2 linked regions of the Drosophila melanogaster genome follow. The protein of the gene in region 2 interacts with the protein of the main gene of each other region in a pairwise test. Each region holds a gene or a part of one and is shown on either strand. Other genes may lie near its edges.

Evidence for each region. The genes of interacting proteins can lie anywhere in the genome.
Region 1: the proteins of CG13362 (region 2) and mRpS17 interact in a two-hybrid assay, tested with the Drosophila melanogaster proteins (one large-scale study listed by BioGRID).

The regions. Positions count from the first base shown.
Region 1 is NT_033778.4:24,172,709-24,176,814, reverse strand, and holds mRpS17 (mitochondrial ribosomal protein S17), read left to right. Parts: upstream 1-2,373; 5' UTR 2,374-2,447; coding exon 2,448-2,555; intron 2,556-2,619; coding exon 2,620-2,979; 3' UTR 2,980-3,150; downstream 3,151-4,106. Other genes in the region: Nop60B (nucleolar protein at 60B), read right to left, coding at 1-388, 624-898, 1,091-1,342, 1,419-1,787, 1,848-1,860; CG3328 (uncharacterized protein), read right to left, coding at 3,419-3,499, 3,560-3,779, 3,977-4,106.
Region 2 is NC_004354.4:748,392-753,469, forward strand, and holds CG13362 (uncharacterized protein), read right to left. Parts: upstream 2,911-5,078; 5' UTR 2,779-2,910; coding exon 2,761-2,778; intron 2,465-2,760; exon of another isoform or gene 2,444-2,464; coding exon 2,382-2,443; intron 2,341-2,381; exon of another isoform or gene 2,324-2,340; coding exon 1,435-2,323; 3' UTR 850-1,434; downstream 1-849. Other genes in the region: CG13361 (uncharacterized protein), read right to left, coding at 3,748-3,844, 3,923-5,078.

The DNA of each region.
Region 1 (4,106 bases), on a different chromosome or scaffold from region 2:
AGCCATTTGTGGGGGAGACTTCTTGAGCTGCTGGCTTCTTGGCATTGTAGTCGACATAACCGGTCAGCCACTCCTTAGGTGTGTTTTCATTGGGCCTTCCGAACTTGTCTAGCTTGCCGGCGGCAATGAGCGCCTTCTTGGCCGACGCCTTTGGTCCCAATCCCCACTTGCGCGGGTATGTGTCTCGCTCCATGATCACTCGCTTGATCTTGGCCACCACACCATGGTCACAAGAGGCCATAGTGGCTGTGGTCATGAGGGCGATGGCCAGGCAAATGGCCTCACCCTTGGTGGTGCAAATGACGATCTCCTGATCGATTTCAATGCCATCCTCGTAGCGCAGGACACCGGGCAATGTAATCTTGGCACCATAGCAAACGGCGTTGACCTGGAGAAAGATTGATGGTTGTTAGTTGATATCATAAGGGGGTCCTTTGCTAGAGGAAATGTCGACCGAATATTCTTTGTCGAGCGCGCAGGATAAGAGCGCTGCCCAACATACACACATCAGCAGCTTTGCTGTTCCCAATCATAGTCACAGGTGCCCGTGGGGATTGCAGGCACCTGCCGGCTTAATATCATGGGGTACTACTTCGCAAACGGCAACTGGATGTCAAACTTACCGAACTGTCCTTCATAATAATGCGCTTGTGGTTGACCAGCAGACCTTCTAGCGGCTTGATCACACGTCGCAGCATAGACTCGTCCTTGTGGTTTTCGTACAGCCACATGGCGTCCAAAACATCGTGCATGGTCACCATACCATCGCGCTCAGACTGAATGCCCGAGCGGACACGGCGGAGCTCCAGCATCTGGCCACCGACACCCAGTACGAGACCAAGATGGACGCACATGGTACGGATGTAGGAGCCGGCCTCGCAACTAACCCAAAAAACACCTGAGCACGTGAGTGGGCAGAATTGGAGGAGAGAAAAAGACGAGGTTTTAACAATTACATTGTGCATTTGCTGTGTTAGGCAAATACTGGTGTTTCACTGGCTGAAGCAGGCTGCACCTCTGCAGGATAAACTAATCCAGCAGCGACGCACCAACTCTGAGCGAGAATGGATAAACAAAACTTCTGACTTACCCATATTTCGGGTTTCATCGTAGTCCAACAGCTTGCTGTCGTAGACAGTACGAACGCGCAACTGACGCTTTACGGCGGAGATGAGTGGAGGTCTCTGGAAGAGGGCACCACGCAGCTTCTCCAGGCCCTGACGCACCTTGGCCACCGACTCCACGGCTCCGTGCAGCTTGAAGATGGCCACGTACTCCTTGCCGGCGCTCTGCTGGGACTTCACCAGACGGGTGGCCCTGTCAATACAAACAATCAGGCAACCTGTAGGAAAAAAAAACACGCGGCACACAATGAGGTTAGGTTTGTATGGCGGTAGGCGAGCACGCGCTTCACTTACCCGTGACTTTGGGATCCAGCGTGCCGGAGTGGCCTGTCTTCTCCACCTTGAGGATTTTCTTGATCCAGGCCACCACCTCGTGGGAGCTGGGGTTCGACGGCTTGTCCAGGTTGATGAAGCCAGTCTTCATGTACTCTTTGATGTCGCGGTTCAGGGGCGACGATCCGTGCGCCAGCGGAGTGTAGTGGTTGGAACGGATGTTCAACTTGTCGAAGTTCTTCAGGAGCAGCGGCCATTGCGAGGTGTCCAGCTCGGCGATCTTGGAGGAGGGCTTGATTTGGAAGTTGCCCTGCTTCTGCAGCGTGCCAATGTCATCGCCGTCCAAGGGCTCCTCCTTGATCTTCTTCTTTTTCTTCTCCTTGCGTACTTCTGCGGGCGCATAGTCCGTTTATTTGGGCACTCTTTTAATTCATCACTTGCCAGACTTACCCACGTCGGCCATTTTATCTACGTTTTCTGCTAAATCAACTAATAGACGGAGAGAAACCTCCGCACGTGTTGCGCGCTGCGAGAAAATGGACGAAAAACACGTGGAGTGCGCGGTCTATCGATAAGTGTGACTACACAGAAATGTATTTCATGAAGACATCGATACATAAATGGAAATCTTGCGATATGTCATCGTGAGCCGAATTCCTTATTACAATTTTGAATTAAAAATATGTATTATTCATAAACAAAATGAATTTAAAGGTATTTACTTTGACGTAAACATTTTTAATCCATTAAAGCATTATTTAATTGAAAAGATATGTTATGTAAAACTGATACACTGTTTATAGTACGGTGAAAATGTTATGTCCTTAGAATCCACTTGTTTTTGCGATGAAAAGTCATACTACCCTACTTTTTAACTGACGCGTGCAAGCTGATTGCATTTGGCGGGATTTTGAAAATCAGAAACTGCTGAGTAAAAAATATCGAAATATTGATAGTTCCAGGCCCAATCGATACTATCGCCAGTGATCTACCAGCTGTGTTTCCCAACCGGTTGTTTATTTTTCTAAACTCTTAAATTAAATTAAAGTAATGTCGAGGCGAGGACTCCTACTAATGGGCCAGTGCATGCCCTGCATCAAGCAGAACGCCTCCAAGATCCGCATTCGCCGAATGGAGCTGGACAAGAACCTGAATATGGTGTGCATAATATACATTAGATCTCGCCTCAGGAGATTTCACACAATTTCCCTTCTGCTCGCAGTACTTTAAGAAGGACGAGTTCTACTTCGCCCACGATCCGCAGAAGGTGTGCAAGACCGGGGACGTGGTCCTGATACGGGAACTGCCAGAGCGCCTCACCCGCCTCATCACGCACAACGTGGAAAAAGTGGTCTATCCGCTGGGTGACATAACGGACCCGCTCACTGGCAAGAAGGTGGTCGTGGGCAATTACCGCGAGGACATCGAGATGGCCAACCAGCTGTTCGGCAAGTCAGAGAAGGCCTTCGACTACGAGAAGGCACCGCCCCGCGGTCGCCTGGAGGGAACCAAGGACTTCACCCACGGGGAAACATACATCAAGTACCACGAGGATGGCAAGGATCAGCCGTTCGCCGTTTAGAGCTCTGCCGGTCGTTTATCTGTTAAGTTTCCCCTTTGTTTAATAGTAAAGTGCATTAATATGACGTACATATGTTTCTCGGTTTTCTTATAAAATGGTTAGGCCGACGAAAGAAGATATTTTTATAGGTTTTTGATTGCTTGAATTGAATTAAAAAGGCAGGTTTAAAAGATTTCTCTACATATTTTATTTTAATGGTCGATAGTTGTTTTTTTTTTTTTGCATTTATTGATGATTTGTTGTGTATACGTATAAATGTATGCATTTTCAACTTCCTCTCGCTGATCAACAGTTTTTGATTATTTAATTTTTGAATTTTCCTAATTCAAACGATTTTTCCGCGCCAGGTGCCAGGACACATCCGCAACACCGAAACGTGCTGCACACGCACATGGTTTTAGAGTTCAGATTCGGTCCGTGCCATAAATTAAGCTGAATACTAATCACAATCTCTTACGATCCTAAAGTTGTACTGGAGTATGGGGTTTGCCGGGTGAGCGTTGTCGTCGCACAGTTTTTGCTGCAACGAAAAGGAGGCTAGAGTCGCTGGATTTCGCGTTAATGCGTCCGGATAACGCACCTGCTCCAGGTCGTGGCTGGCGCGGAGCATAAACTCCCGTAGGAAGTAGCCGCGGGCGGGAAGATCCAGGGCCAGGCTCAGTTTGTTCTTGCCCTGCTGCTTGAGGATCTTCACCCCGCTGGTGGACTCGGCCTCGTCATCCTCGTTCAGCTGGCCGTTGGCACTCGGCTTGGCCTGATCCTCGTCGACGCAGATGGACCACTGCAGCGGCTTGTTGGAGCTGTTGGATATAGATGGTAATAAAATAAGTGATTGTAAAGAATTCATTAGGAGTCAATGGAACTTTGAATGGGTTCAAGGGCAGTATGATTTTGTATGTAAACACATACTGCATTTGTATCTTTAAGATACTTTAAGATCTTACCGAATTCGAATACATTTGTTACAGAATAATGAAATAAAGTGTACCCAACTAACCTCAGATGGAGCTCCAGACTACTGGCCTGCAGATAGCGCGATACCGGAACCACATAGCTGACATTGAGGGAACTGCCCGAGGTGGGACAGAACTGCTCCACGTCAATGGTGTGGTTGTACTGGGCCGCTA
Region 2 (5,078 bases):
AAAAGGTTATGTTTTATGTTTAGTTTTTTGTGCGAGTAAATCTAGAAAATCTACAAGTACGAAGACAAGGACAAAACACCGATGCAATCGGTGGCCTAATAAGAAATGAAGAAAACGAGTTCATGAAACACGCGAAAGAAATCATACGCAGTAAACGAAAGTCTTTCTCTTATAAGAAAGGATAAGTGTATTTTTTTGGAAAGGCATCGAAGAAAGGCTATAGCCATGAGCATGAGAAGAATATCTAAGAAAGATGGCTTAGGTAATATTGATAGGCCATATTATTGCAATTTCCCTACCACATAAGTTCACAAACGCAAGCAAAAGTAACACAAAGCAAACAAACAAACAAACGAGCAAACATGCAAGCATTCAAAAGCTGCATAGCACACAAACAATCGAAGAATCGATTCGTTCAGAGCGCATGCGTAGCAGATTTAGCATTAAGTACGATCTTCTAGAGGTAAGATGCATTTTTTTTTTGTTAGTTGGGGGCCAGTCTCTACGGGGAGACTTTGCCCTGATACTCTAGATCGTAATTTTCGATTGTTTAATCCCCGAAGCTTAGAGATAATTGTACTCGTGTTTGTATTTGAATGCGGTTTATATTTATGACTATATTTATATATCGATGTATACATGTATATCTAAAAACTTAAACGACTGATTATATATTTTCCCCTGATTAGTTGTATACTTAACTCCTTTTTTGTAATACCTATGCATTAACTATGCTAAGACCACTTTGGCACTTTGGCGACCGTTGAAATGAAAACGGAGTGGATAACTTTCTGCGTTTTCCCCAAATCGCAAGCTAATTTCAACTTCAAAGACTCAAAGCACAAGTTCATCTAGTTAAGTAAATGTATTTGTAATTGTTGAATTGATGATTAAAGGATAGTTCTCCACTAATTGAGGAGGCACGTTTGATGTGGAGGAACTATGGAGATGAAAAAGGTGGAGCTTAGGGATCTTCGCTCGTTGCTAGTTGAAATTCGTGCAACAAGCGCAAAGTATTAAAATATTGATAAATACAATTTAAATGTGTAAATGTAATTGATCGAGCATCCGAATATGAATCAATAAAAGAACATGAAATCAATGGAATCCCATTATCGGCATTTTTTTTGTAATACCGTACTCTAATTAAGATTACTTACTTTCTTGCAGGCTCTCGGTATTTATGGCTACTTTTATTTAATAATTTCTTTATTATTATATTTATTAAATATTGAAAAAAAATTCTTTCAGCAGACGCTTACTTTTATATGCTGGAGTATCCCTGAATTGACATTCTTACTAAATATTATATTTAATCGTTCTTTCATTTGTTTTTAATATTTGTTTTAAGATCTCTAGGGCACCCCTTTAGTGACAAGTCAGTCGTGGATTGGCTTTATACCAGAAAGGCTGTTGCTGCACCATCCAATTGAACTAGACAGGACTGTCTGAAGTTATATCCTGTCTTTCTGTCTGGGCCTTGATGGCAATGCCTTCCAGACTGTGACTCTGGCTCTGGCCCTGATCCTGTTCCTGCCCCTGCCCCTGTTCCTCATCCTCGTCCTCTTCCTCTCCCTCGTTATCTGTCTCGCCATCAACTTCCGCTTCCAATTCCTGTCCCTCGATGTGACGAGCCGCCGGCTGGGACACGAACGATGTGGAGGAAGTGGACAGCTGCGAAGGCAATGTGGCCGCTGTCGAGGATGAGACGAAACTGGGCATACTGACCGGGCACATGCAGGGAACAAATTGAATGCGACTGTTACTGGAGACCCCTTGCTCCGATACTACGGTCTGCTGCTGCGGCTGATAGTTGAAGTAATCCGGATATGGATACTGAGGCCTGGCGTTATAGAGGTTGTTTACCCGGCGATTGTACGCGGGATATTCACCAAAGCGCAGCAAGCTAGAAGTGGGTCCTTCGGAGAAACTACTACTGGTGGACTGGGGCGGAGGTGGTACTGGTGGTGGGGTTGTACTGGTGGTAGTAGTACTAGGTCTTGTTGTTGGTGCCGGAGTGGTGGTTGTGGTGGTGGTAGTTGTTGTCGTTGGCGCGGGAGTGGTGCTGGTTGTCCGAGAGCTACTCGGCGCGTTGCTCAAGTCCGTCGGAGCAGTAACTTCTTGCCTGGAAACGGAGTCATGTCGTCTGCCAGCAGCGTAACTGGTCATCCCATATGGATCGTACTGAGCACCAGGCAGCATAGGCGTCTGAGCAGCTCCAAATCCAAAAAACCCAGGAGCTAATGGCTGATAAGTGTATGTGCGGAAATAGGTGAGCGGAATTTGCTGGAGGATTTGGCCGCCACTCGGCTCCCTGGTTTCCCTATGGATACGATGAAGGTGAGACTTAATTGAGCAGTTATACAGCTTAATTTACTTACGTTGTTGTCTTTGGCCACCAGAAAGCGTTGGACAGTCGGGAACCTGTCAGGATAAGAGTAATCTAGCGGGAAAAGGAGAATGGGTGAGTTTTTCAATTCCTTAACAAATGCCATTGGCTAGGTATTACAATTAAAAAACAATATTCGTTCAAAAGTCGAAATTAGATTTACTCAAATTGTTTAGATTCATATGTACATATATTGTACTAGCTTCGTCCATACAATTATTTTTTCAAAATTGACCATGAGCAAATTTTTTAAAATTTTTTTTATTGCATTTATCACCGATAACATTCACTTGTATCACAAAAAAAAAAAAAAAATTTTAAACCAAAAAATTTTCTTTATATGTAGGCAAGTAAATCCTTTTTTCACATACCACAAAACTTAGCCTCATATCTATGTCCAAAATACGATTTTCTGAGGGAATTTCCCTTTATCCTTGGGAAGCAATGAACAAATTTATGAAGAATTGAGCAAACTTATATAAACCACTCGCGTGCGCAGTCGCCTTTGTTCTAAGCCCAAAAAGAGTGACGGTCCGAGCTTTTATAGCCCAAAACAGATTGGGGAATCGCTTGGGATCGATTGTGTGGCCCATGGCAATGCTGGTCAGAACAGAAACGCCGACATCGAGCAGGTTTTTCCCCAGCCAAGAAAACGGTGGAATGGGGAGCTCTAAGTTCGGAGTGGGATATATAGTTCCCCTTGTAGAACAACGAGAAAATTAATTGCAGTCTGCAAAGCGAAAACTAAGCTGGGAAATCTATAATAATAATGACGGGGCGAACAACCGGGAGAGGCACATCATTGATAAAGTGATTGAATGAATGATGGATCCACCGACGTGGAAAGGAGGGCTGCGTTTTTGAAAGAGCCGCATCTATTCCAATGGCCGTAAACATTTGTTGATGACTTTTCTTCTTTGCCCTGCCTTGCTTTTTAACACATTCAAATTTTGTTTTCCTTTCTGATTTTCCGTGTATTGGACTCTGGAATTTGGGTCAGGCGATGGCTTTAGCTCACCCGTCCGATTTGCACGTTGGGTTATGCAACTATAGATCGCTCAATAAAGTGGTCCCTATTCTTCACTTTCCAATTTACGACCGCCTTTTCAGAGCTCGGGTTCTCTTTTGACCCCAAACATGAATGACTGCCCTTTATCGGTCGTAAAACGGTTCCACAAGGCAACCTAGCTAGGCATTACAATCTAAATTGTCTCATGACTTTTTCTGAAGGCTTTATTTATGGAGAGAGGCATTAATGATCATCTCGGAGCACTGTGATCTGTAATCTCTTGGACAAAGAATGTCACCCCAAAAACTATTCTTAATCAATTTTAGTTATTAACATATAATTATTTGTGCTATCTCCGAGGTCTGAAGCCGTTCTCTATGTACTTGGATGTGTAGTATTTGGTCTGATTGTCCGTTCCATGTGACCGATGGTAGGGTCCCTTGTAGCTGAAATTCAAGAGGGATAAAATAAGTAAAAAATATATAAATTAAATATTTAAGACGAAGCAGCGAGCACCAACTAACCGTGAATTTAGTATAAACCAGGTACTAGGCTCCCTTTCCAAGGAGCTTCTTGCCGAGCGATCACTTTTCTCTAGTAGATTCTTGGATGGATTCTGTGTTTGTGGCTGGAGCAGTTTACCCAGGGTATACACTGGAAATGCATAGTACTTCTTTTTCAGGGCATACCGAGAGCTCTGTCGCAATGGCGTTGGCGGCGTAGTGGGACTCAGAGTATCGACGGCTGGTCGTTCCAAACTCTCATCGATGTAGACGATCTGGAAGGGCTCACTGCTGCTGGCGGTAGACGTTTCTGTTGGCTCGGGAGGTAGTTCCACCTCTGTTTCGGCTTCATGTGCTGTTAGCCAGTCTTGTTCATCAAGCTCCTCCTCTACACCATCGCTTAGATCCCCCAACTCCTTCTGCTCGTCCGGCTCCACTTCCTCGCTGGAGTGATGACGATGATTGTCGTTGTGACCAGTGGATCGTCGCAGGACTGTCTGCCATTGCATCACTTCTTGAGGGGAATGAAAGGCCTCATATTGCTTGGCCTTCTTTCTCTTTCGCTTTCCCAGCGTTAGCATTCCCTCAATTCTGGGCAGCTGTGTCTCGTAGGGTGATGTCATGGGCGTGGTGGAAGTGGTGGGTGCTTGAGTGGATGTGCTAGTTAGGGCTGGATCATTGATGGCCTCTTGGGCATAAAAGGGAATTAAAGTCAGGTTCATGATCTCCCGTTGTCCTGGAAAGCGGAATCGCTCTACAATCGGTTTTGGACGAAACATGGGCGTCGATGGTGGATAGAGAACTTGGCCTGGAACTGGTTCCTGCATGGGATAACGCCTCCTGCTCAGCATGGTGTTGAGAATCAGTTCTCCCCTGGTTCCATTGTACACGAAAACGGGGTAGTTGCCCATACCCAGTTGCAGGGAATTCTCCCCTGGCCCATTATCGAAAACGGGCAGCTGACGACGTTCTCCCCTCCGGTGACTTCTGGTTTTTTGAACAGGTTGTACGTACCGATGGGGCAGCTGGAGACGGTGGGGCATCATAAAGCGTCGTTTAGGTAAGGAGGGCTGTTTTGGGGGCGGCGCAGAAGGAGCATCCCGATCGTCATGTCTAACAAGAAAAGTAATGGAGCCGGATTCCGCCTCCTGACCACCACCTCTTCCCTGCCTTCTGA